3 linked regions of the Mytilus edulis genome follow. The main gene of each other region encodes a partner of the protein of the gene in region 3 in a complex. Links are inferred from orthologs where the notes say so. Each region holds a gene or a part of one and is shown on either strand. Other genes may lie near its edges.

Evidence for each region. Proteins that work in one complex are often made in the same cells at the same time.
Region 1: general transcription factor IIH subunit 3-like (region 3) and transcription initiation factor TFIID subunit 7-like share a complex: the UniProt entries of both Homo sapiens proteins name them as parts of the TFIID-containing RNA polymerase II pre-initiation complex. The link is inferred for Mytilus edulis from reciprocal best matches to the Homo sapiens genes GTF2H3 and TAF7.
Region 2: general transcription factor IIH subunit 3-like (region 3) and transcription initiation factor IIB-like share a complex: the UniProt entries of both Homo sapiens proteins name them as parts of the TFIID-containing RNA polymerase II pre-initiation complex. The link is inferred for Mytilus edulis from reciprocal best matches to the Homo sapiens genes GTF2H3 and GTF2B.

Annotation. Positions count from the first base shown.
Region 1 is NC_092351.1:88,525,521-88,534,335, forward strand, and holds the start of transcription initiation factor TFIID subunit 7-like, read right to left. Parts: upstream 3,849-8,815; 5' UTR 3,777-3,848; coding exon 3,693-3,776; intron 3,048-3,692; coding exon 2,916-3,047; intron 2,562-2,915; coding exon 2,481-2,561; intron 1,124-2,480; coding exon 1,027-1,123; intron 1-1,026. UniProt on the Homo sapiens protein: The TFIID basal transcription factor complex plays a major role in the initiation of RNA polymerase II (Pol II)-dependent transcription.
Region 2 is NC_092345.1:2,984,516-2,992,932, reverse strand, and holds the start of transcription initiation factor IIB-like, read left to right. Parts: upstream 1-4,569; 5' UTR 4,570-4,660; coding exon 4,661-4,680; intron 4,681-8,360; coding exon 8,361-8,417. UniProt on the Homo sapiens protein: General transcription factor that plays a role in transcription initiation by RNA polymerase II (Pol II). Involved in the pre-initiation complex (PIC) formation and Pol II recruitment at promoter DNA.
Region 3 is NC_092349.1:84,928,559-84,937,826, reverse strand, and holds the start of general transcription factor IIH subunit 3-like, read left to right. Parts: upstream 1-5,558; 5' UTR 5,559-5,685; coding exon 5,686-5,692; intron 5,693-5,755; coding exon of another isoform or gene 5,756-5,840; exon of another isoform or gene 5,841-5,855; intron 5,856-9,268. Other genes in the region: translation initiation factor eIF2B subunit alpha-like, read right to left, coding at 143-255, 676-792, 1,673-1,818, 2,683-2,784, 5,756-5,840. UniProt on the Homo sapiens protein: Component of the general transcription and DNA repair factor IIH (TFIIH) core complex, which is involved in general and transcription-coupled nucleotide excision repair (NER) of damaged DNA and, when complexed to CAK, in RNA transcription by RNA polymerase II.

The sequences.
Region 1 (8,815 bases), on a different chromosome or scaffold from region 3:
AATAATTTCCTGTCAATATACATAGTATGTCCTTATTATCTACAACGTTTCATGAAATTCTGTTGTGTGGTTTGAGAGGAGTTGCGATGACAAACTGTTGCAGTAGTACATTAAAGTAAATAGGTTCAAAGGGGCGTAACTCCTAGAAAAAAAATTGAATCGCAATTTCCCGTCGATATGCACAACTACATAGTATGTCCTTATTATCTGAAAAGGTTTCGTGAAATTCTGTTTTGTGGTTTGAGAGGAGTTGCGATGACAAACTGTTGCAGTAGTACATTAAAGTAAATAAGTTCAAAGGGGCGTAACTCCTAGAAAAAAAATTGAATCGCAATTTCCCGTCGATATGCACAACTACATAGTATGTCCTTATTATCTGAAAAGGTTTCGTGAAATTCTGTTGTGTGGTTTGAGAGGAGTTGCGATGACAAACTGTTGCAGTAGTACATTAAAGTAAATAAGTTCAAAGGGGCGTAACTCCTAGAAAAAAAATTAAATCGCAATTTCCCGTCGATATGCACAACTGCATAGTATGTCCTTATTATCTGAAAAGGTTTCGTGAAATTCTGTTGTGTGGTTTGAGAGGAGTTGCGATGACAAACTGTTGCAGTAGTACATTAAAGTAAATAAGTTCAAAGGGGCGTAACTCCTAGAAAAAAAATTGAATCGCAATTTCCCGTCGATATGCACAACTACATAGTATGTCCTTATTATCTGAAAAGGTTTCGTGAAATTCTGTTGTGTGGTTTGAGAGGAGTTGCGATGACAAGAAACAGGACTGACGGACGGACGGACGGACGGACGGACGGACGGACTGACGGACGGACGGACTGACGGACGGACGGACGGGTCAAAAACATTATACCCTGCGCAACTTCGTTGCGTGGGGTATAATAACCTGCTATACAGTAATTTTTGTACTGCATGCTCATTTTTTATTTTCTTTCTGTGTCTTCTTCCTAACATTACCATTTATATAACCGATTTAACACTTTCATGTCCTTTAATGAATAATCTGGTACTTACTGCCATGAATATACTGATACTTTTTATCTTTATCTTTTTTCTTTAGACTGTCATTTTCATCTGACATGGGTTCTTCATCATTTGTACATAGCAGCATCTGAAATTTAATTATAATTTTTTGCTATAAGAATCCTTACAATCACATAAAAATATATATAAAAGAGGGTGTTTGTTTGATTAACTTGATTCTCTTGGAATTGCCATGCTCTTTGCATGTTAAGAACCCTTGCAAAAACTCTTTGAGGGATCTGTAGGTGGCCTGTTGCAAGGCAAAATTTCTGTCCCTATTCAATATACCCTCATTTTCAAGTGGCAGTCCAAAGTTCTCCGACCATCATCCGGAATGGCCTCTATTATGACAAGACCTACCCATTGTTTTTATATTTATCTTGTTCTCATCCTGAACATGCATGAAATAATTGCCACTGGACGTTGAGCAACCAACAATCAATTGATTCTCTATGATATTGATTTGTCTGTCTTTTTATGTCTAAGATTTCTGATGTATATCCCCCTTTTTTTTCTGAACAAATATGACCTAAATGGAGAAACTAAAAGGAATTATTTAAACAGGATTAAGGTGCAAGCTCACTTAAATTTCAAGGGCCCATACACAGAGCCTTATCCAGGATTTTTTAGTGGTAAATCAAAACTCACCTGAGATAACAGGCATATAGTTTTGTACCCCCAGGCATACATTTGTCTAAAAAATACTGGTCAGTGATGCTTGAATCAAGAATTTTAAATGAAAAATCAAGTACAAAGAATTGATATAAAGAAGAAAGCAGGGGAAAAGGAGAAAGTAGATTTTGATTACCCTGTCTGCTTCATAATGTTATTGGTTGATTGGTGTTAACGCCTCTTTCAACACTATTAATTAATATACAATTTTGTCAAAATTGCAGCGACCAGTTTTTATTGGTGTAGGAGGCCAGAGAGAACCATCAGCATTTGATAGGACAACTGATAATTCCTAGTCAATTAAGATTGAAGATGAGTGCACCAGCCATGTGCAGAAATCAAACTCACAACTTCATTGTTGACAGGATAGTGATACATGTAGATTAGTGTGAAAAACATATATTGGCTTGAGTGTCCTTTAAGCACCTACCCTTGGTGACTCCTGCATATGAACAACAAAACAATTGTTCATATGCATCAGCCACGAGGAAGGACTCAACTCAAAAGCTATTTTTATAATGGATGTGATGTTAGTGCATGGTCAATAAACACTTAATATACTGGTTTACATGACTACATGTGTTGTTAATTCAATTTATATTTCAAGTTTTTTTCAGTTGTATTTCTTTTTTATTTTTTTTGTGTATTGTCTATTGCAATTGTTTGATATAAAAAAATCAATGTACTGATTATGCCTATAATGGGTCCTCTATTGGAAATAAAATTTATCTATTATCTATCTAATATCTAACTCTTATAATTAATATCCATACCTGGCATAAATCTGCTGTTTTATAAGCTGTTTTGTTATCAATGGTTTTATAAGATTCTATCACACAAGGCAAATCCATCAGCTAAAATAAACAAAATTATTACAATTAGATGATGTAAATGCTGAATTTTTTTAAATGATGTTTTCACTATTGTGTGTAGGACTAACATGATAAGAATTCCAGTACATTTGTATCTAAAACTTTCCCACTTAAAATTTTGAAATTATAATACATTGTATCAAGAGGCAGACAGCATTTCTGAAATAGTATAATATTTATCAGTACACTATATATTATTGTAGCTCAGAATGATTTACCAAAAGAAGTTATACATTACATTTTTTAAAAGACAAAACTCCCAACATACCCAAGAAATCTAGGGTGTGACTAATATTTTGTAATATTTATCTCCCTTGTAACATGTGTAAGTTTTACCTTTGCATGAAATATATCTGTTCCATATCTAACAGCTCCATGTCTATGATCCTGGTTCAGTTCTATACTTATTCTGTCTTTAAGTGTCATAGACCCTGATTGGACCTCTCTCCGTAAGGCCATAGCAGATCCCTGAAATTAAAATAGTCTTTACTAATATAGGTTTGTACATCATCAGCAGCTTCAGACTTCTAACAGTGATTTATACATGCACTGACATGGACGTTATCTCAAACGTAATTTATCTTACAGATGGATTTTAAACTTTAATGATTTTTTATAAATCATTTAATATCACAATTTGTAATTTCGGAAAAAAATATATTAAATGTGATAAGAATTATATTTTTCAAGGATTTAAAGCTAAACCCTTTACCATGTTTACAATACAAGAAAAACATGGTCTCATATGATATCAAAGCTCTAAGTCCCGCTAAGAACTACATGTACCACTCTGATGAAAGGGTTTTCTTGAGTCAACCTCTAAATTTCAATGTGGTAAATGATTGTTATAGGAAGAATCACAGGAGTTTGAAATCCTATCAATAAGGGGGTAAAAATATACCAAAGTCGACTATCATACCAAAGTCGACTATTACACTGTGATAGTCGACTTTGGTATATTTTTACCCTCTTATTGATAGGATTTCAAACTCCTGTGGAAGAATGAAGATGAAAACAAATCAAACTGTCAGACTGTCTAACAAACAAAACATAGACAAACAAAACATACACAAAACACAGCGGTATTTGCAACTTCACAATATTGATAATTACCGGTGGAAGGCGTAAAATAAACTGTTGTTCTAAGTCATGCAGTGGTTCACCAGCTCCTTCTTTTTTCTTTGCTTTGGAGCTCATTTTAGCAGTGTTGATTGGTTTTTTTCACTTCTCAATCAGGGCGGAAGTCACACTGTACCAACAAAATACAAACCAATTTACGAATCCCATAAAATTTACGGAGCGTCTGATGTGCTTTGTTGTAATTTATAGATCTTTATAGAAAAGTTCCATTCTTTTACTTTTTATGATCTTTTATATACATATTGTTTTACACAATATTACAACAAAAACACAATGAAATTATTGGACAAAATACAAACAAAAAAGCATAACCTTGGGGTCTCACTAATTAGCGACAACAAGCGTCAAGAAGCGACAACAAGCGTCAACAAGCGACAAGAAGCGACAACAAGAATTATTTTAGCGACAACAAGTATAAAATGAGCAGATATGTCTAATTAAAATGAGATTAATAAAGGGGTAGCTGAGATACTCTTATCATACTGAAACAAAATTAACGGTACCAATTTTCTTGCACCAGATGCGCATTTCGACAATACATGTCTCTTCAGTGATGCTCGTGGCCAAAATATTTCAAATCCAAAGCTTATATAAAAGATGAAGAGCTATAATCCAAAAGGTCCAAAAAGTATAGCCAAATCCGTGAAAGGAATGAGAGCTTTGCATGAGGGAGATACATTCCTTAATTTATAATTATTCCTATCATTTTGTAACAGTAAATTTTAATAACACAAAAAAATCCGTATTTTCATGCCAGTACCGAAGTACTGGCTACTGGGGTGGTGATACCATCGGGGACTAATAGTCCACCAGCAGAGGCATCGACCCATTGGTAGTAACAAAATTAACGGTAGTGTCACAACTTGTTGAATAATTATGCTAATATTAAAAACACATTTGAATTTTTCACTGGTCCATCAATACTGTACAAGAAAAACACTTAAAAGTAGATTGAACATAATAAATAACAACAAAACTGCCATACCATGTGTTGGCATATACATGATATATACACAGCTGAATAAGACGCTAAAAATTATCAAATTCGGAAAATTGCATTTTTTTGCATTTGCAAGGAATTGCAATCTCATTAAAATCCGATGTTTTGAGTGGAGGGTAGCGTATCAGAACATCAGATTTTAATGAGATTGAAGGAATCGTAGTGAGAATTTTCTTATTATAAAATCCTTGTTGCACATAAACACAAACAAAAAAAAATATAAAATTATAAAATTATAAAATTGATATTGAGTGTAACAGAATATTAATTTTTGGGAATGTTGATAAAATGTAATGGAAACTTATCACAAAGTACTTTAGAGCTGACAAAAAAAGCAAAAAAAGTATTTTTTGCAATAAAATCATATACTAAATCATTGAATAATCTACCTATAAAAGTAGCAAATAATCTTTTTGATTCTTTAGTAAAACCAATTATGACCTATAATTCAGAAGTAACATATTTGGATACATATATTTCTTTTCATCGAGCCAAAAGCAGAGCCTTAACTTCAGGAAAAGAAATTAATCAACTTGATTTTATAGACAAAACCCCCATAGAAAATATGCATCTTAAATTTTGTAAATCTACTCTAGGGATAAGAAAAAATGCATCCAATTTAGGAGCAAGAGTTGAATTAGGAAGATTGCCTATAGAATGTTTTATTAAAACACAAACCCTTTTATATTTAGCTAGACTATATAATAATAATATTAATCCATTGTTAAAGGAAGCTTTTTCTCTAGCACAGTCTCTAGATTTGACAGGAACTTACTCATGGTATACATATGCTAAAAATATTGTTAAAGAGACTAACGTTGACCTTAATATTCTTTCTACTTGTAAGGACATAAAAGATGTAAATAAAATAAAAAACGATATAAAGTTAAAAATGAAAAATAGATATGAAGATTTAATTCAAAATAAATTTCAAAACATCGATGATAAAAGTAAATTTTTTCTCTATAAAAAACTTAAAAAAGATTACAAACTAGAATATTATCTAAATACATCTAATTTTCAGATAAGGAGATTAATCACTAAATTTAGAATAAGTGATCACTCCCTCTTGATTGAAAAGGGGAGATATTTTAAAATCCCAAGAGAGGAACGTCTTTGCCATAAATGTAAAATACTAGAGGATGAGAAACATTTTTTACTATATTGTGAGTATAATAAAACTCTAAGAAATGACTTTTTTCATCACATATGTACAGAAAATAATAACTTTAATAATTTAAATGAAGAAGAAAAAATTCATTATTTACTAAATCCATCATCGCCTTTACAAACAAATAAGTTAGGATCCTTCTTGAAAAAGTCATTAGAACTGAGGGCAGGGGACTCTTAACAACTTGTTTGTTGTTATAAATTTTAATGCTGTTGATATTTTGTATGTTTAATATGTATGTATATATGTTTATTGTGTTTATTGTATTAATATATGTTGGTCACAAACTGTAAAGTTTATATGACAATAAAATATTTGATTTGATTTGATTTATAATATTAGCAATTTTACTATCTTTTATATGTTTTTGTATTGCTGACAATATTTTTTTATTAACAGCTTCTACCAACCAACGATTTGCATAGTGAGACTATACAAATCCTTGACTTATGTTGTGTTTGAATTAATAGAAATTCGTGAAGGGCACATAATTATCACAAAACAACGAATACCCTGAGTATAGTAGCAATGTTAATAGAAACCTTAGAACCTGTACATGATATTGAGGATGAAATGCATTTTATTTTATCATGTCCATTATATTCTAATGTTCGTGAATGTTTGATAAAACCATATTATTGGCGTAAGCCATCTGTTTATAAACTTTTACAATTATTAAGCACTACTAATGTAAAAGACTTGTGCAACTTGGGAAAATATATATTTAGAGCACTTAAGCTCAGAAATTACTGTTTTCAGTAAGATGATTTGTAATTCATTTGTTACAAATATTTGCTATTTGGAATTATATTTATATGTATTTATTTTTTGTGTATTTAATACTTCTGTCTGTTTTGTTATGATCGTATATTTTAGTAATCTATATATTTAGTTAGTATATATTGATTATGTGTACCTATATGTTGTAAAACATTTGGTTAATAAAGAATTGATAGCAATAGCATATCAATACAAACAAGTATAGAAACAGAGGCGGATTAAGAGGATATGACCCCCCCCCTTTTGTGGGAATTTTTTTGTTGATTATATCAGAACAGAACAGAACAGAACATATTTTATTTCCAATTAAGGGCCCACAAGGGGCATACAGAGCATACATGAATAAGGCAAAAGAATATTGATTTGCATAGATACATAGATACAAACATTTTTTTACATACAGTTACAATACAATTACTAACTCATATTCACTTTAATAAATTTACCAACAGCATTAAGGACCTGATTGTCTTCACAGTTTAATAAATAAATAAATTTATGCTGATTATCAAGTATAGAAAAATTCGGAATTCTTTGGCAAACAAAGTCAAAGAGAGCATCTCTATCCGATTTTATATCTGAGACTACTATATACTATATAGTAGTCTCAGATAATATACTAGAGAATCACAGAGGCAGGACTGGAGCAGGCCACCTCATAGTCTGAGTCAGTTAATTGGCCCTGTGACAAGTTGTGAAAATTTCTGAATCCGGCACGGAGATACATATATTATCAGTGACTGATGTGGATAGTACAGTAGAATTTGATACATTTGTATCAAATTGAATGGATCACAGAAAAGGGGGTCGCATTGAATTCCTCATAACAGATGTTTGTTTAAATTCACTACTTTCAATGAATACTAGTGTCCACACGTGGCATTATTTACTCCGTGATTAATTGTGACCTCGTGTTTTGATTAATTTTCAAAGTTTCACATTTTACTCGTTTACCTGTCAACTTGAGAAACCCCCGTTGATAATATGACGCAAAAATGTGATCACCTGATCTGAAGGCTATTTTTAAACGTATCAGAACATACCTACGTTTGGGTTGAGTAAACACTCAGGTAGATTCCAGGTACATTGTTTACATGTATGGACAATCCCCATATCTACTGATCAACTAAGCGTTGTTTGGACATGAGGTCACCGGTGGAGATACCGTGTTTACTATATTCATTTTAAAAAGTAATATATTTGAAATTGAGTTGAAAACTACATTTATTTACCGTCTCCAGCGTCAGTACTATAGCAAGGTAAGTAATTACTTACTTATATATGTTATTGTGTTATGTTTCTCTTATGTAACATTCCACGGATAAGAATATCATCTTTTTTTTTATTTTAAAAATTCAAAAATTTACTTTATTTAAATCTTGAACGTATGTTCCTCGATTTCACGCATTTTATTAAAGTTACAAATTATATATGTGTATGGCTATCCGTAATAAAATATTCTCACTTGTTGAAATATTTTTCTAAATATTTACCCTGTATTGTTTATTAATTTCATGCATTGTCTTTATACTCGACACACCTATTGAGGGTATGAACAGGGATCCTTCATTCAAGTTCTTTATTCATTAGTTTTCCACATTGTATTTCTCTTTTCTTTATACTTTTCTACAATTTTTTCTCTGTGTTATATTTTCTGCTCGTTATATTTTTCTATTTTTCTACATTCTTTATTTGTTGGCCCATTATTCTCTATTTAGTACCCTCCCCCCACGGACCCTCTTATATGGAAATATGACTGGTCAATAAAAATTTGAATTATAAAATAAATTCAGTCATAAATGTCGAGCAACAGATGGAGCCCTTATGAATTTACATTTTTTTTTTAAATTGAAAAGATTTTTGGTTTGTTATATTTCTATACAATGACAAAGAAAAGCGAGTTAAGAACTTTCATGATTTTAGGTGGCTGACTTTTAATTAAAAATTCTCATTTGATACTGATGGTTTTAAATCTTTTCTTTTTGTATCAAATGAGAATTTTGAATTAAAGGTCAGCCACCTGATTCATCTTACTCTAACATAAGTAAATCGAATTATAGAAAGAAAAAAAATGGATATAGGATAGAGCTAGAGAAGAACCCTTAATATTTTTAGGTTGTCAGTAACCTGAATTCAAAAACGAAA
Region 2 (8,417 bases), on a different chromosome or scaffold from region 3:
AACAAAAAATTCACGTAACATCTCCACCAAACCAAGATAATTTATGTAACACATCCATCAAATAAAGATAATTTATGTAACACATCCATCAAATAAAGATAGTATATGTAACACATCCATCAGACCAAGATATCATATGTAACACATCCGTCAAACCAAAATATCATATGTAACACATCCATCGAACCAAGGTATCATATATAACACATCCGTCAAACCAAGATATGTGTAAAACATCCGTCAAACAAAGATATCATATGTAACGCAATCATCAAACCAAGATATCATATGTAACACATCCATCAAACCTAGATATCATATGTAACACATCTATAAAACCAGGATTTCATATTTAGCACATCCACAAGACAAAAATATCTTATGCAGCACCTCAGTCAGACAGATATCCTATCTAACACATCTATCAAACAAAGATATCTTATGTAGCACATCCACACGACAAATATATCTTATGTAGCACCTCAATCAGAAAGATATCTGATGTAATACGTCCTTCAAACAAGTATATCTTGTGTAACACATTAGTCTAACCAAGATATCATATGTAACACATCCGTCAAACAAAGATATCATACATAACACCTCCATCAAACAAAGATACATAATGTAACACATCCGTCAAACCAAAATTTCATGTAACATCTCCACCAAACCAAGATAATATATGTAACATATTCATCAAATAAAGATATCATATGTAACACATCCATCAGACCAAGATATCATATGTAACACATCCATCAAACCAAGATATCATATGTAACACATCTATCAAACCAAGATATCATATGTAACGCATCCGTCAAACAAAAATATCACATATAACACCTCCATCAAACAAAGATACACAATGCAACACATCCGTCAAACCAAGATATCATGTAACACCTCCATCAAATCAATATAATTTATGTAAAACATCCGTCAAACCAAGATATCATATGTAACACATCCGTCAAACTGAGATATCATATGTAACACCTCCATCAAACAAATATAATTTATGTAAAACATCCGTCAAACCAGAAACCCTATGTATCACATCCGTCAAACCAAGATATCATGATATACCTCCGTCAAACCAAGATAATTTATGTAACACATCCGTCAAACCAAAATACCCTTTGTAACACATCCGTCAAACCAAGATATCATATGTAACACATCCATCAAACAAAGAAAAACATCAATCAAAGAAAGATATCTTATGAAACTCATCCGTCAAACCAAGATATCTTATAAAACATCCGTCAAACCAAGATATCCTATTTAACAAATCCGTCAAAGTCAAAATGTCATATGTAACACATTCATCAAACAAAAAAAGCATATCCATCAAACCAAGATATCTTATGTAACGCATCCGTCAAAGGCAAAATATCTTATGTAACACATCCATCAAACCAAAATATCCTATGTAACATATCTATCAAAGCAAGATATCCCGTGTAACACATATGTCAAATAAATATATCTTATGTAGCACATCCATCAGACAAAAATTCTTATTTAGAACCTCTATCAGACAGATATCTTAATATGTAACACATCTATCAAACCAAAATATCATATCCAACACATCCATCGAACCAAGATATCATATATAACACATCTATCAAACCAAGATATCTTATGTAGCACATCCACAAGACAAAAGTGTCTTATGAAGCACCTCAATCAGACAGATATCTTATGAAACACATCAATCAAACATAGATATCCTATGTAAAACATCTATCAAACCAAAATTTATTATTTAACACATCCATCAAACAAATGTATCATATGTAGCACATCCACAAGACAAAGATATCTTATGTAGCACCTCATTCAGACAAATATCTTATGTAACACATTAGTCAAACCAAGGTATCATATGTTACACATCCGTCAAACAAAGATATCTTATGTGGCACAATCATCAAATCAAGATATCTTATATATCACATCAATCAAACCAAGATATCTTATATAACACATCCATCAAACAAAGATATCCTATGTGATACATTCATCAGACACATTTCTTTTTGTAACACATCTATCGAACAAAGATATCTTATGTAACACTTCCATCAGACAAAGATATCTCATGTTTCACCTCCATCAGACAAATATCTTGTGTAACACATCCGCCTAACCAAGGATTTCTTATGTAAAACCTCCATCAGACAAAGATATATTGTGTAATACATCCAACAGAAATATAAATCTAAGAAACACTTCCATCAAACAAAGATATCGTAGGTGATAACATCTACATCAGTCAAAGTTATTTAAGGTGGTAAAACCTCCATCAGACAGTGATATCTAAGATATTTAAGTCTCCATCAGACAAAGATATCTAAGATATTAACACCCCCACTAGACAAAGTTAATTAAGATTTTAACATCTCCATCAGACAAAGATATCTATGTTGGTAACACATCCACATCCACAGATATATAAGATTTTAATACCTGCAACAGACAACAATAAATAAGGTGTTAAAAAACGCCTTCATTAGTCAAAGTTATTTAAGATGTTAACATCTCCGTCAGATAAAATTATTCAAGGTGTTAGGTGTTAACCCCCCCCCCCCCCCTTTGCCCCCCCCCCTTTGCCCCCCCCCCGACAATGTTATTTAAGGTGGTAACACCTATATCAGACAGTGATATCTAAGGTTTTTAAGTCTCCATCAGACAAAGATATCTAAGATATTTACACCCCCACTAGACAAAGTTAATTAAGATTTTAACATCTCCATCAGACAAAGATATCTATGTTGGTAACACATCCACATCCACAGATATATAAGGTTTTAATACCTGCAACAGACAACAATAAATAAGGTGTTAAAAAACGCCTTCATTAGTCAAAGTTATTTAAGATGTTAACATCTCCGTCAGATAAAATTATTCAAGGTGTTAGGTGTTAACCCCCCACCCCTCCCCCCGACAATGTTATTTAAGGTGGTAACACCTATATCAGACAAAGATATATAAGGTTTTTTTAAACACCTCCGTCAGACAAAGATATATAAGGTGGTAACACGTCCATCAGCCAAAAATACATTAGGTTTTAATATCTCCATCAGACAAATATCTCTAAGGTGTTTACACCTCAGTCAGACGGAGATGTATAAGGTGTTAATACCTCCATCAGATAAATATCTTGAAGGTGTTAACACCTCCATCAGGCATAGATATCTAAGATGTTAAAGCACCTCCATCGTACAAAGATAAAATTGGTCTAAATTGGTGACATCTACATATTACAAAGATATCTCAGTTGGTAACATCTTAATTAGACAAATATGTATAAGGTTTAACACCTCAATCAGACAAAGTCTAAGGTGGTTACATCTCCATCGTTTAAAGATATCTCATGTGTTTACACCTCCGAAGACAAAGATATCTAAGGCGTTATCATCTCAACCAGACAGAGATATCTAAGGTGTAAACACCTCGATTTACAAATATATCTAATGTGTTAACACCTCCGACAGATTAAAATATTCAAGGTGTAAACACTCCATCGCACAGATATCTAAGCTGTTAACACCTCAGTCAGACAAAGATGTATAATGTTTAACACCTCCATCAGACAAAGATATCTAATGTGTCAACACCTCCGAAGACAACGATATTTAAGGTAGTAACTTAATCCTGTTAAAGATACTTAGGTATCAACTCATACTTATAATTATGCCTTGCTTCGGCTGACCTTTTTTACCAGGAACACTGGGAAACTAAGTTTTATAAGACGCCTGCCATTCATCTGTTGTGGTGGGGAAATTGATTTTCTAGATAAATTGCAGATTCTATTTTTTTAATTCTTTTTTAAATGTTTCAGAAGGAAAGTTGAAAATAAATCCATTTGTTGGTTTTCATTGAAACTTAGGGTGAAAAGGGATTCAACATTGAATTGGAAAAAAATATTGTTGAAATTTTAGTTCCTGTATGTTTTTGATATTTTCAAAATGAGTGTTTGTGTCGAGAAAAAAAAAACCTGTTTTCCCACAGAAAAGATGGATGGTTGGTGCATAAATACATATGGAGCTGAAAAACCAAAAAGAATCTGCTTTGCAGAGCCTATCAGTGAATTCAAATTTTAATTGTTCCAGTCCTGACAATTCAATAAATATTTACCACTGAACGTTTAATAAGACAATATAGCTGTCATAGTTTCATATTCAGTCTATCATCAGCCCATTTCGGTGTGTTATTAAATATCGAAGTTTTCAAATAAAAAAAATTCGATATTTGATTTTAAATTTATCAGAGACACATAATATATTGTAAAAATCTAAAAGCAATTCATGAGCCACCAAGATGTCTCTGGTTCTAAATGTTAAGTTAAGTCATCCCTTTGAAATTAAAACAAAACTATTTATTTTTGATCGATTTTATTTGCATTCCTGTTTTTCTAATCGACCTGTGGAAATGTATCAAAGATGTAATGTAGATCACATTGGAATTTCGAAAAAGAATAAATATTGGAAAAGACATTGCGAAAGTCAATGTGTATTGGTCGTGACATATGTCAGGGTATTAGTGTCAGGGCATTAGGGAAACCCGGAATCCGGGAAAATTTCCGCTATATATAAATTAATTTTACCGTCAGAAATCAGAAATAGCCGAATCGTCATTTCGAATCATGGCATCAACAAGCAGAGGGTAAGACACACATTGTATGCGACAATAACTACCCAATAACAGAATTGTGGAAAAGAGACTTTCCTAGAAAAATTGAAACATCCCCCTATAGACCTGTTACCTGTTTAAATTATCTGAGTAAATCACCCCACTTTCATCGCCCGTTAAGAATTTATTTTATATTTAGTCGGTTGGGGATAATCATCAGAACAACCCTTCAAATGAGGGGTAACCCCTCAATGTAATGACTATTCCTGTGATGAGGGGTTTTAATGTTTCTTAAAATTATGATAGAAATATTTTTTTTGTTAAAATCACCTTTTCTACATCTACATCATGACATAAGACGATCCATCAGCACATTGATGACTATACGTCGATGCATCGTAAACAGACTCTTAATAAAATATAACAATTCATGAGTGCAATAATTCAAAAATAATTTTGTCGAAAAAAAAAACAAAAAAACCCACACATTTACATATTTATCCTACCGTAGTCAAAAATCGGTCATCTTGTTTGTTCATTCGGTATTTGTGTTTGAACTTAACTCACGGGGATTCCGGAAACTACTAATTGACGTCACTATGCTACTTCAAGCGTAGAAAATTAGTGCAGAATACGTTTTTTCTACTCTTTTGAATAAAAAAACATGTCGAAAGGTAAGTACATGTATTGCTAAAAAAATGCCAATTTTCTAATGACCGTTTCAATCCTGACTTCATGTCTAAAACTTCACAAAATCCCACTTCCGGCCTCCATTGCTTTGTGTACATTCCATTTAGAATCATCAATCTTGTGGCAGGAAGTACAGGTCAAGCAAATCATATTTTTAGGAACTTAAAAATGACATGCTCCATACATCTTTCGCGATTTTCCCCGCAAAAAAGCCCAACCAAAATGATATTTTAAATATTACAGATATATTTTTTTGTTCCGATTTGTTCCATGTTTTTAAAATTTAGCGATTTTTTTCACAGATTCTGAACTAGAATTAACATTAAATGTCTTTCATGATCGTCTCGCAATACTTGACCACTGTTAGATATTCTTTCACGATCATTTCTCTCATTGAACCGAATGACACCCGTGTAAATATACTGACTTTGGATCAGTATTTTAAACTGATCAAGGGTTTAACACTGATGACGTTTAGTGGAAATAAATTCCACAGTTCAACTGTGAATAGAAGAAAGCTGTACTTGAAGTAATCTGTTCTAGTGCTGAATGTTTCGTATTGAAGGGAACTGGTGAATCATTCTGAATCTGGTGTTTTTGACTGGCTGTGGTATAAGGTAAGGTTTAGATCTACATGTACTGCAATGAGTTTGTGTGAGATTTTGTACATCATTGTTATTTGATTGATGTTCTGCGAGTTTCAAGTGACTTCCATTGAAGAAAGTCAATCATGGAAGTGACACTACTGGTGTTGTGGTACCTGTTGGTGTTTTTTGTACAAAGTAACAAATGAGCACATATTATTATATATTATTTGAAGAAACTTTTCCCAAAGAACTATAAATCTATCTGGCATTACTGGTATATGGTTCAAATAAGTCCAAGAATTTTGTTATATTACTGGACTTGTATCTTCTTTATTATTAAAAATAATTGGACACCTCTTTTAGAAAAGTTTTTTTTAGATATAATGAACTTTCCCCCTTTTAAGTTAAAAGTCTTAAGTTTTTTTGGTTTTTTTTTCTACATCAGTAAACTGACACTGGGCATTGTGATGTCATACTTTCCATTAAAAAAGCATGCCTAGTAGGAATTCATATAAGGTACGAAAGCATGCCTAGTAGGAATTCATATGAGGTAGGCATGCCTAGTAGGAATTCATATGAGGTACGAAAATATATCTGACCATAAATGGCAACATTTTCAGACCATTGTTCAAATTAGAACTAAATAGTCAATACAAATATAATGGCCTCTAAAGATCCTACTCTTTGAAGTTTGTTAACTTTTATTCTGATAATATATCAGTAATCGTGTCTTTATGCAAAATGTTGCCCTTTACCCAAATGTTGCCCTTTACCCAAATGGTTGAGCCATGACTGAAAATATCTGTAAATCCAAAGTTTATATATGTAAACAACATAACATAGGGCAAGTTCAATAATGATGATTTTTACTTTTAGCGTTCAGGAGTTACGGTTCTTGAAAGTTTAAAAAATGTCGTGTCCATGCATTTACTCATGAACCAGTCAACCAAACCTTTTAAAATTTTAATATGTTGTTACTGATAACAAAATGAAGCTCAAGTTTAATAATGACGATTTTGATTTTACCGTTCAGGAGTAACGGTTCTTGAAAGTTTAAAAAATGTTGTGTCTGTGCATTTACTCATGAACCGTTCAACGAAACCTTTTAAAATTTCCTATTAGGAGTTTTGGTCCTTGTAATATTGATAAATGCCAGAACACAAATAAATGTTAAAGAATCTGGTTTACTGTCATTTTGACAGCTCTTGTTGATTATTGGCCCAGTTTTCAAGTTTGTCCAAATCGGGGTCCAAAATTAAACTTTGTTTGATTTCATCAAAAATTGAATAATTGGGGTTCTTTGATATACCAAATCTAACTGTGTATGTAGATTCTTAATTTTTGGTCCCGTTTTCAAATTGGTCTACATTAAAGTCCAAAGGGTCCAATATTAAACTAAGTTTGATTTTAACAAAAATTTAATTCTTGGGCTTTTTTTATATGCTGAATCTAAACATGTACTTAGATTTTTGATTATGGGCCCAGTTTTCAAGTTGGTTCAAATCAGGATCCAAAATCATTATATAAAGTATTGTGCAATAGCAAGAAATTTTCAATTGCACAGTCTTCAGCAATAGCAAGAAATCTTCAATTGCACAGTATTGTGCAGTAGCAAGAAATTTTCAATTGCCACTATTGCGCAATAGCAAGAAATCTTCAATTGCACAGTATTGTGCAATAGCAAATATTTTCAATTGCACAGTATTGTGCAATAGCATGAAATATCTAATTGCACAATATTGTGCAATAGCAAGAAATTTTCAATTGGAGTTATCTTTCTTTGTCCAGAATAGTAGTTGAATCAACTTAAATCATTGTTTTATACAATATACAATGTATATTCACTTTTACTACCAACTGATAAATTAAAACAATCTTTACCATTCAGTGATAACAAGCACTTTATTTTACATTTTAAATTTACTATGTTATGATGTATTTAAATGAGTAGTTATTGTTGCAAACTCCATTAGAAATTTGAATGGAGATCAGTTTTAGAAAAAGGGAAAGGGGGATGTGAAAAAAAAAATGGGGGGTGGGGGGTTAAATTTTTCTTATTTCAGATTTCATAAATAAAAAGAAAATTTCTTCAAACATTTTTTCAACAGCAAAGTGAATTGCTCAAAGGCAAAAAAATTATTTTAAGTTCATTAGACCACATTCATTCTGTGTCAGAAACCTATGCTGTGTCAACTATTTAATCACAATCCAAATTTAGATCTGAATCCAGCTTGAATGTTGTGTCCATACTTGCCCCAACCGTTCAGGGTTCAACCTCTGCGGTCGTATAAAGCTGCGCCCTGCGGAGCATCTGGTTATTTCTGTTGCACAATCCCCACATGATAAATATATTTCAATGAATGACAGTAACACAATTACTATTACTATGTTGTAGTAGACTGTTAGTTATGCTAAGCTTTATGGTATATTTTTCAGACCAAAGACCAAACAGATATGCTGTCCAGAACATCCTTATGCTAACTTAGTAGAAGA
Region 3 (9,268 bases):
ACTTACAAGTCTAACAAAATTATTTACAAAAATACAAACACCAGTACACAATTTATTATTTTGAGTGCACCCCCCCCCCAAAAAAAAAAATGTGTTTATATTATGAACAGTCCTGACATGGAACAAGATAAATTATAGATACCCAGACTTGTTAGGCTGTGATTCAGCTACAAATACATTAAATCTTTTCTTGGCTTCTGCAGCCTCCTTCAGTACTTGTAATACAACCCTCGACTTGGAATTCGTTAAAATTGTCTACAATTGAAACTAATGTTATACAATAATGAGAAATTCTAAGCAAATGAAACGATGATGGTACTTGGAAAGTTTAAACTTGTTCCATTTAAAACTACCTTTAGCTGAAAATTGATTTTTAAATATCCCCCCCCTGAAATTTTACATTCATGTTTTTGGTTATAATAACTGATACGACTTTTCTGCAATTTGTTGTATGTCTTATTGGTTAAAAATTAACCCCTAATAAAGTAATGAATTTTCTAGCTGTGTTAAGGACCTATTGGTGGCCTTTGGCTATTTTCTGCTTCATAGTCAGGTTGTTGTCTTTTCGACACATTTCCTGTTTCCATTCTCAATTTAATTTTTTCAGTCAGAGGAGACAGAAACCTTTAATGGAAGAAAAAATATTTTAGGGAGGTTACATAAATTGAAACCTACAGTTCCATCTCTGATGAATGGATGTGTCACTTTGCCAATCTTTTGTCTTGACCCTGCTACTTTATCCAAGAACAAATTTCCTCTTTCAACCAACAGCTTCTTTAATTCTTGAATATTCTGGAATAAAATCATATAAATTGAGAATAAACAAAAACAAAGTACAATTAACTAACTGATTTTTGTCAGAGATTTATTTTGTGACTAAAAAAATACAAATATATTGTGAATATATGCATATATGTATTTCAACACAAAAAAAAAAATCAAACTTGGGTCATTTCTTAATACATTAAGAAAAAGAAAGAGAGTTGTCTCTTTAACAATCCTACCACATCTTCTTACTCTTATAGAAAAAATATTTTCAATTTTTTTTTTAATTAAATATCCAATTAATTGAGAAAAAAAAATATAATGGCAAAGCTTCTGTTTAATTATTAAAAAAAACCACACATCACCTTTGAAGAAGTCCTAGTATACAGTTATTTGGTAGTGCATTTCTTTTAGACAATAAATGGAAATAATAAAAATCCCACCTGCACTTTCTCTATACTATTTTTAGTGTGGTGTACTACTTTTGAGACAAATTATATCAAAATTATAGAAAACTTCATCAGCTCTAACTCAAAATATGGACAATTTTATGTTCAGGGGGTCTTGAAATCTTTTGACAGCTTCCGAAATGCTTATTTTTAACCTTTTTCAGTTGGACCAAATCACTACTTTACTTTAAAATTCATGAATCAAATTTTTTCCCAGTGTAATTTTATCCCCCTACTTGCTATTTGAGGCATAAAACATGAAGAAATAAATTTGGAAGGGGTATACCAAAGATTGGCAAGTAACACACTGTCCACACTAGGGACTATATTTGTGGACAACGAAAATCAAGAAACGATAACTGTGTACTCATCAATTTTGCTCATTTTCTAATTTTACATGGGCATAACTTTTTGTATTTTTTTCTTAAAAAGATGAGAAACTGTGTATAGTTACATACTGAGTATTCTAGTGAAGTAAGTTTGAGTGATATAAATCTTAGGAAGAGTTCTCCAGCTGATGATATAGATGTTGTACTACTGTCGGTCTCAGTTAATATATTTATAGCTTCCTTCAAACTTTCTCTCATTTCCTGCACAGTTTCAACTGCAAAAGAAAACAAGAAGATAATGCAAATGTGTAATTTTATTACAGTAAAACAATGAGTCAGTGTTCTTGTTTTATTTAATTGAATAGATCAATTTGAAGTAAAATGCTTTAAAGATACACTTTTTTCAAAATTATATTTCACACATTGAAGTTTCTCTGCCATACTCATACATGGACATATTTATTCTGGAATGAGAACTGAACAAATTTCAGAGCAATTTTCAAAATCTTAGTGATCTGCATTTAATATCATCTTCATATCCTGAGCATAAATTTGAATCCATAAAAGTTTTAAAAAAATATATAATTGGCTATTAATTTTCCATAATTGAATAATGTCTGTTTGTAAATTCTTATTCATGTTCAGTTCTTGTGATACTAATGTAACACACATTACCTTTATATAATTATGGTATGTCCATGCTTCATCAGATCTGAACACACTTTTAATTGACATAGAGGAAGTCTAGTGATTTCTTTAATTACATGTAAGTATGAAACTTTGGTGGATAGATATCCATTGTCAATCAATCAAAAGAGGGTTTTTCAGGGAGCCTAGGCTCCCTCTTTTGTGGGAAAAAAATGGTTGATTATATAGAGAATCACTCAAGCATGACTGGAGTGGATCCCCTCTTAGGCAGTCAGTCCCCCCCCCCCCCCCCCCCCCCCCAAATATGAATGTGGTCTAATAAACTTTTCCCCTCCCCCACTAGAGTGCAAACCTAAATTCTCCTTCTACTTCGTTGGTAGGGGAATGGGGACTAAAAACACACACACAAAAGCAAAAGAACAGCTCTTGTATTGCAGTTCATTTTCTCAGAGTCATTTATGTTCTTTTAACAAGATATGATTAAAACTTACCTTTACTGATTTCCAGGAGGTGAATTAATGTTTTGATTGCTGCTACAGCTGCTGCCAAATCTGGTTCATTATTAGTAAGATTGGTGAAATATGTCAGTATATCTGTAATATAACAGGTAAACAGTTAAAAATACAGATAAATCTTATATAGTGTTACTTAGGTTGGTAAATTATGTCAATATAGTCCACTTCCAACTTCCAAAAAAGAATTATAATAGTCATTACTGCCTCTAATAAAATTGAGAATGGAAATGGGGAATGTGTCAAAGAGACAACAACCCGACCAAATAAAAAACAACAGCAGAGGGTCACCAACAGGTCTTCAATGTAGCGAGAAATTCCCGCACCCGGAGGCGTCCCTCAGCTGGCCCCTAAACAAATATATACTAGTTCAGTGATAATGAACGCCATACTAATTTCCAAATTGTACACAAGAAACTAAAATTAAAATAATACAAGACTAACAAAGGCCAGAGGCTCCTGACTTGGGACAGGCGCAAAAATGCGGCGGGGTTAAACATGTTTGTGAGATCTCAACCCTCCCCCTATACCTCTAACCAATGTAGAAAAGTAAACGCATAACAATACGCACATTAAAATTCAGTTCAAGAGAAGTCCGAGTCTGATGTCAGAAGATGTAACCAAAGAAAATAAACAAAATGACAATAATACATAAATAACAACAGACTACTAGCAGTTAACTGACATGCCAGCTCCAGACTTCAATTAAACTGACTGAAAGATTATGATTTCATCATATGAACATCAGGCACAATCCTTCCCGTTAGGGGTTTAGTATCATACCATCATAAGTTCATAACATATATGAGAAGAACATAACCCGTGTCATGCCAACAACTGTTTTTAGAATATATGTGTTTAGTTCCGATGCAAAGACCTTATCAGTGACTGAATATTAACGCCAAAATATGCAATCTTTAATGAGTTGACAACAGTATCGTAATTATATCCCTTCTTCAGAAGTCTAAGTCTACCAGACAAAAATCAATCTGACCATAGGTCAATCTGACCTCATAATAATATGATGAATAATCATGATCAGATGATAATTACTGAAAATTTTGGTTATTACCGGAAGAATATTTTTAGGAAACAGTACTAGAGATAAACGACAACAGGTGAAAAACCTTTTTAATTATGAAATCCGTAATTATCAAACAATATCACTTTTATCCCTGGTAGATATTTTTCATTTCATAGATAAAGATTTCAGATATATATAGCAGCTACATTGACTTTACATATGGGCCAGATCAACTAGGCTGGAAAAGCCTGGAATCCACTTGGAACAACATATAACCACTATAAACACCCATAATCTATGCAAACATATGCAGTCTCGAGCTCTTGACATACACGTATTATAACAGATTGTCAGAGTTACTTGTGTTCTGTGGTTTTAATATATTTTAATTCATTTCTCATCAAATAAGGTTTCCCTGTGCCTGCCTGTCCGGTACACATCAAATTGTGACCATCTCTGGCAAGGGAAAACCAAAATAATTAGAAAGGCAGTGTCTGTTCGTACCCGCATGCGGGTACGAATAGCAAAATTGCCGTTCGTAGGCTACGCGTACCCACATCCGGATTTATAATAAATTGCCATCGGATCGGGAATTAAACGTAAAATATATACAGAAATTATCGCAATTAGTGAATAAAATTGATCAACTACTTAAGAAGTTTTGTAAACATTTATATATATGTAAGTGATCAACAGTTTTTCCCGGTTAATAAATATTCTTAAAATGGGAAAAGAGTGATATACAAGTGGGGCAGACATTTCAAAGTTATCATGAATTGGAACAATGTGTTCAAAAGTATCAGTCGATTGATTTTATACAATTGTATATAAAAACAAACTCGGAGTCAATTGCAGCTGCAGAGAAAAGATGAACTGGAAAAACAAAAAATAAAGAGGAAATCAAGTTTTACAGAATATTTTTTTCCTGTCATTCACGGAGGCAAAAAATTCTAAACAAGTTCGACAGGAAAAATGAAGGCCTATACATTATTTCTGAAAAACAAAGGCCGATCATATGCCAATAATCTTCTATGAAAGCTTCGTTAATAGTAAACAAAATGTTTGACAAAAATGTAATTTAAACCTTCAGCGCATCAAAAAATATTTTGCCTCTGAGGCGTGGAAGCAACTTAAAATTCGGAAATTATATATTATCAGATTATAGGACTATAGTTTACAGGGACTGTATATTTCATTTTCAATCAGTACATGTGCATTTAATTTGCAAGGTTTATTATATATTATCAGAGACGTCTCTGATATTATTAACTTATAAATACAATTCGAAAATATTATTTGTCATACCCTTCACTCGTTCTACTCGAAATCCCCATATTATCGATAATTAATGTATATATTTCACGTTTAATTCCCGATTTGATTGCATTTTATTATAAAACCGGATGTGGGTACCCGTAGCCTACGAATGTCAATTTGACTATTCGTACCCACATGTGGGTACGCGCAGACACTGTCAATTAGAAATGAATTAAAAATATATAAACAACAACAAAGCACCTGTCATATAATTTTCATTACCATATGTACATCGAATATGGTAAAATTGAGTAGGAAAATATCGCCTCTGATACTTTAACTATAATGGGATTAGCACAATTGATACTTTTAGATTCTATATCATTAAAAAGAGGGTTTAGTCACAACCTTGTTTTTCCATCTTTTTCTGTTGCAATGATCTGTTCGGTACTTATAATTTTTTTGATCTTCAGAAGATGCGTCTAGAAATTTTCCGAAAGCTCAATTTCATCGGTACCAAACCCTCCTTTCATTGGTCAATTTTCTACTTTCATTTTAATTTTACCAAATCAAAATTATCGTTATGTTAGTGTCTTGGAATCTTTCATCAAATGGAAACATATCATTGATTTCTTTCCCCCTTACGTATGTTCTCCTGAAACAACATGTGAAAAAATTATCTTTGTCCAAGTGTATTTGAAATGGCAGGTAATTGTCTCATTGTCATCACACATAAAACACCTTGTTTTATTAACATGAAAAAGATGTTACCTGTGAAAAGAGACGAAATACGAATTAGTACATATTTCCAATGAGTCCCCCTGTTTACTAAACAAAGGCCAAAGGACAAAGCCATGTTCTATTAGACCTTATCCATATTTTGAAATATGTGACAATGAACTATTAAAGTTTTACAACTATGTCTTCTCTTTTGTTGTGTCATTTTTAAATGCAGTAACAGATTAACTCCACACCCATCATTTTTCCCATACTAAAATATGAATATATAAAATTGATTTATTATGTAATTTTCAGCTACTGTAAGTTTCAAATTAATTGGATAAAATTTATAGTAAAGTAAAAGTAAAGTAAAGTAATCTTTATTTAAAGTCGGGTTGCATATATATACATAATAACAAAGAACATGAGCTCTTAAGAGCTCTTTAACCGACTGATATTAATAAACAAAACATACATGTTATAACATCAGATACACATACAACACAAACATACAGACATCACATATATATATTAATACATAGATAGCACATGCAGAATAAAAGCTAAGCAAGATAGATTAGAACAAATGTCTAATATCAGCACATATACAGTAGCACATAGTATTTATATAACAGTAGCACATGCAAACTTAAACACTTTAAGCACAAACAAAAGACTGCATGCAGCTACAGCAAAGGTAATGCATAAGCAAAAGAAATAAATGGCTAAATAAAAAATAAAAATAACTGCAAAAAAATAAAACATAAAAAAAACCAAACATACCGTGTATAAAAGCCTAAACAGGATTCTACACGTACAGTACAGCCTGTGACTTCCTCTTAGTTATGTCCACCCTCTTGCATGGTCAACATCCAATGGTGAACATTTATTGGGGTATTCAATCTTGAGATGTTGGCCATTTATTGGGGGTCATAAATCATGGGCAGATTTTTTATCTAATTATGTTACCTGTTAAAATCAATCAGGGTTGAAGTTTTCAGCTGGTATGTTTCATTAAATTTTACCTGTACAGGTGACTTGGGTTTCTATCAAAATTGACATTTCACCTTTTTTTGAAAATGTAGAATAAAATATTGTTTTACTCTGTTAATTTATTATTATTTTTTTGTCTTTAATGCTATTTAATTTTTTAATTTTTTAATTGTTTTTTTTTTCATTTTTGTTTGTTTTGTTTCTTACTGTTTTGTTTCTTATTCTTTTAATTTCTTCTTGGTAAGAATCTTGAGTCGAAATGGCAAAAAGTCAAAGCTAAAGTTATTGACTAGCATTTGAAATAAACAGACTTTTAATAATTGTTTTTTAAGTAAAAGGTTTATATAAATACACATGATGTACATTGTATTCAATTGTTTGTTAACATTATTAAATGAGTTATTACTATTAATAATAACTAATAATCATGCAAGTGATATTTTAAATAAAAAAAATGAAAGTAATTAAACAATTTGGTTTCTTAACAAAATAAGATGATCAATATCAATCCTTTTACAATAGATTTTGATAACATCTAACATTATTCAGGAAAACTACAAGTACCATTATATGGTTTAGGAAAAAACTAATTTTGTTTATTTAAATTTTCTTCAAATCTCAAAACAAGAGTTGTGCACAAACAATCACCGAAAAGACTTATTTTCTAAATGTCCACCTAGTTATCATCAAATTTTGATAAATGTTCATTAAAAATGCTAATCATAATGAAAAATGTTCTTATATATCTGAATCAAGTGAATCTTATGAAAAGAAATTATTTAAAGAAATTGTCTTGAAACTTATTAACTTAAGTATGTTATCTTCAGTTTGGTTAATTTCTTTCAAAATTTGTCTCCAGAAAAAATAAAGTGCACTTCTAAAGATGGTGACACTTTAATGGTTTATTAATTAAATCATTTTTTTTCAGTGTATTATATTGTCGATAGTGCTGGACTGGCATGATACATATTCTTGGTATACTTTTAGATAAAGTTAATAATTGCAGGGACTTTAATGAATTAAGACTTTTAAAGTCCTTAATAAAAAATGAATTTAAAGAAAAATCTAAAAATAATAACTTATGATAAAAACTGTAAACTTGATTGTGTCAATTAAGGTAGAGAAGTTTTGGTCATAATTTAGAAATAGAAAATAGTGGGCAATATAAAATTCCTAGAAAGGATAGAATGTGTAAACTGTGCCTCTTGTAGGTCAATGAAGAACACCTATTCCTTGATTGTAAAATTAACAAAACAACTTTGAGATATAAATCCATTTGAAAATTATTTACCTTCTCATTATAATGTCTCTAACCCAAGAACAAAAAGTAAAAGAAATGCTTAACCTCTAAAACATGGATCATGTTTAAAATATCATATGACAATAAAAATATTATCAAATTTTGCTGTACTGAATATTTCTAATACTTATAAAAAATATTTTATTCAATAAAGAAATAATGAATTGCCTAAATTTTATTTAGCTTAAGTCCTAAAGACAATCTTAATCATATGTTAAGATCAGTCTATCTACAATAATAAACCATTTTGATTTTAGAAAATTAATTTGAGAAACACCTTGTCAATAGAAAAAGGCAGGCATTGTAAATATTTGCAGTATATTTGAAAATGAGATTCATTTATTCTTTACTACCAAAAAATAGACTTAATATAAAAAATAACTTAAACTGATCAAAAATTATTTAAAAGGTATAATATCAAAACTAATAGTCAGGAGACAATTATTTTTTAATTAAGCTGTTTGTTCAACAAGTTTTATTGTTTCATTTTATTTTTGAATTTCTTGTCATAATAACAGTCATTAAATTTGACAAACACATACATGTATATTTTACCTGAGACACCTGACCTGTAAGTAATATAATTTTAACACTTCAATGCATTCAAGATTTCCCTTTATCCTTGACTAGTTTTTGATAAATACCTTGTGTATTAAAAAAGCAACAGGGGGTATGATGATGAACATATAGGGCCACCATGGTGAACATATTTTTTATGGCCACCATTAATAAGATAAAGTCACAGGTAGTACAATGTACCACTACAGATACAGATACAGATAACAGCAGGATTCATCAAAGCCAAAGGTCTGAGATAATTAGTAAGAACTTTATGAAGAACGTCACATTAGAGTCTCCTGTAATATTACATTTATAGACATTTGAAGATCTAAATCTGTGCAGCCCATTGCTTGTTGAAAAGGGTAGAAAAGCACTTTTTAAAATAAAAAAAATTAATTGCATACCTGTCAACCTGTGACGATTATGCAGGTTATGACCTGCATTGAAGAATCAAATCTCAGGTCATAACGCGTACGAACTTTTCCGAGCTGAATTTCAGTATTTATGGTACATTTTCTTATAATGTATATCAAAGATACCAAAACATCAATGCATGTTCAGTTTGTTAAGTCATTTTAAATCTTATTAAATAATATGAGGCAGGCATTACCTGTGAATGGGGACGAAGTTTGTTTAAATTATTTTTTTTGTAACTTTTAAAAATATTTGTTAAAATAAAGAAATGGAAATACCGTAACGTTTCCGATTTT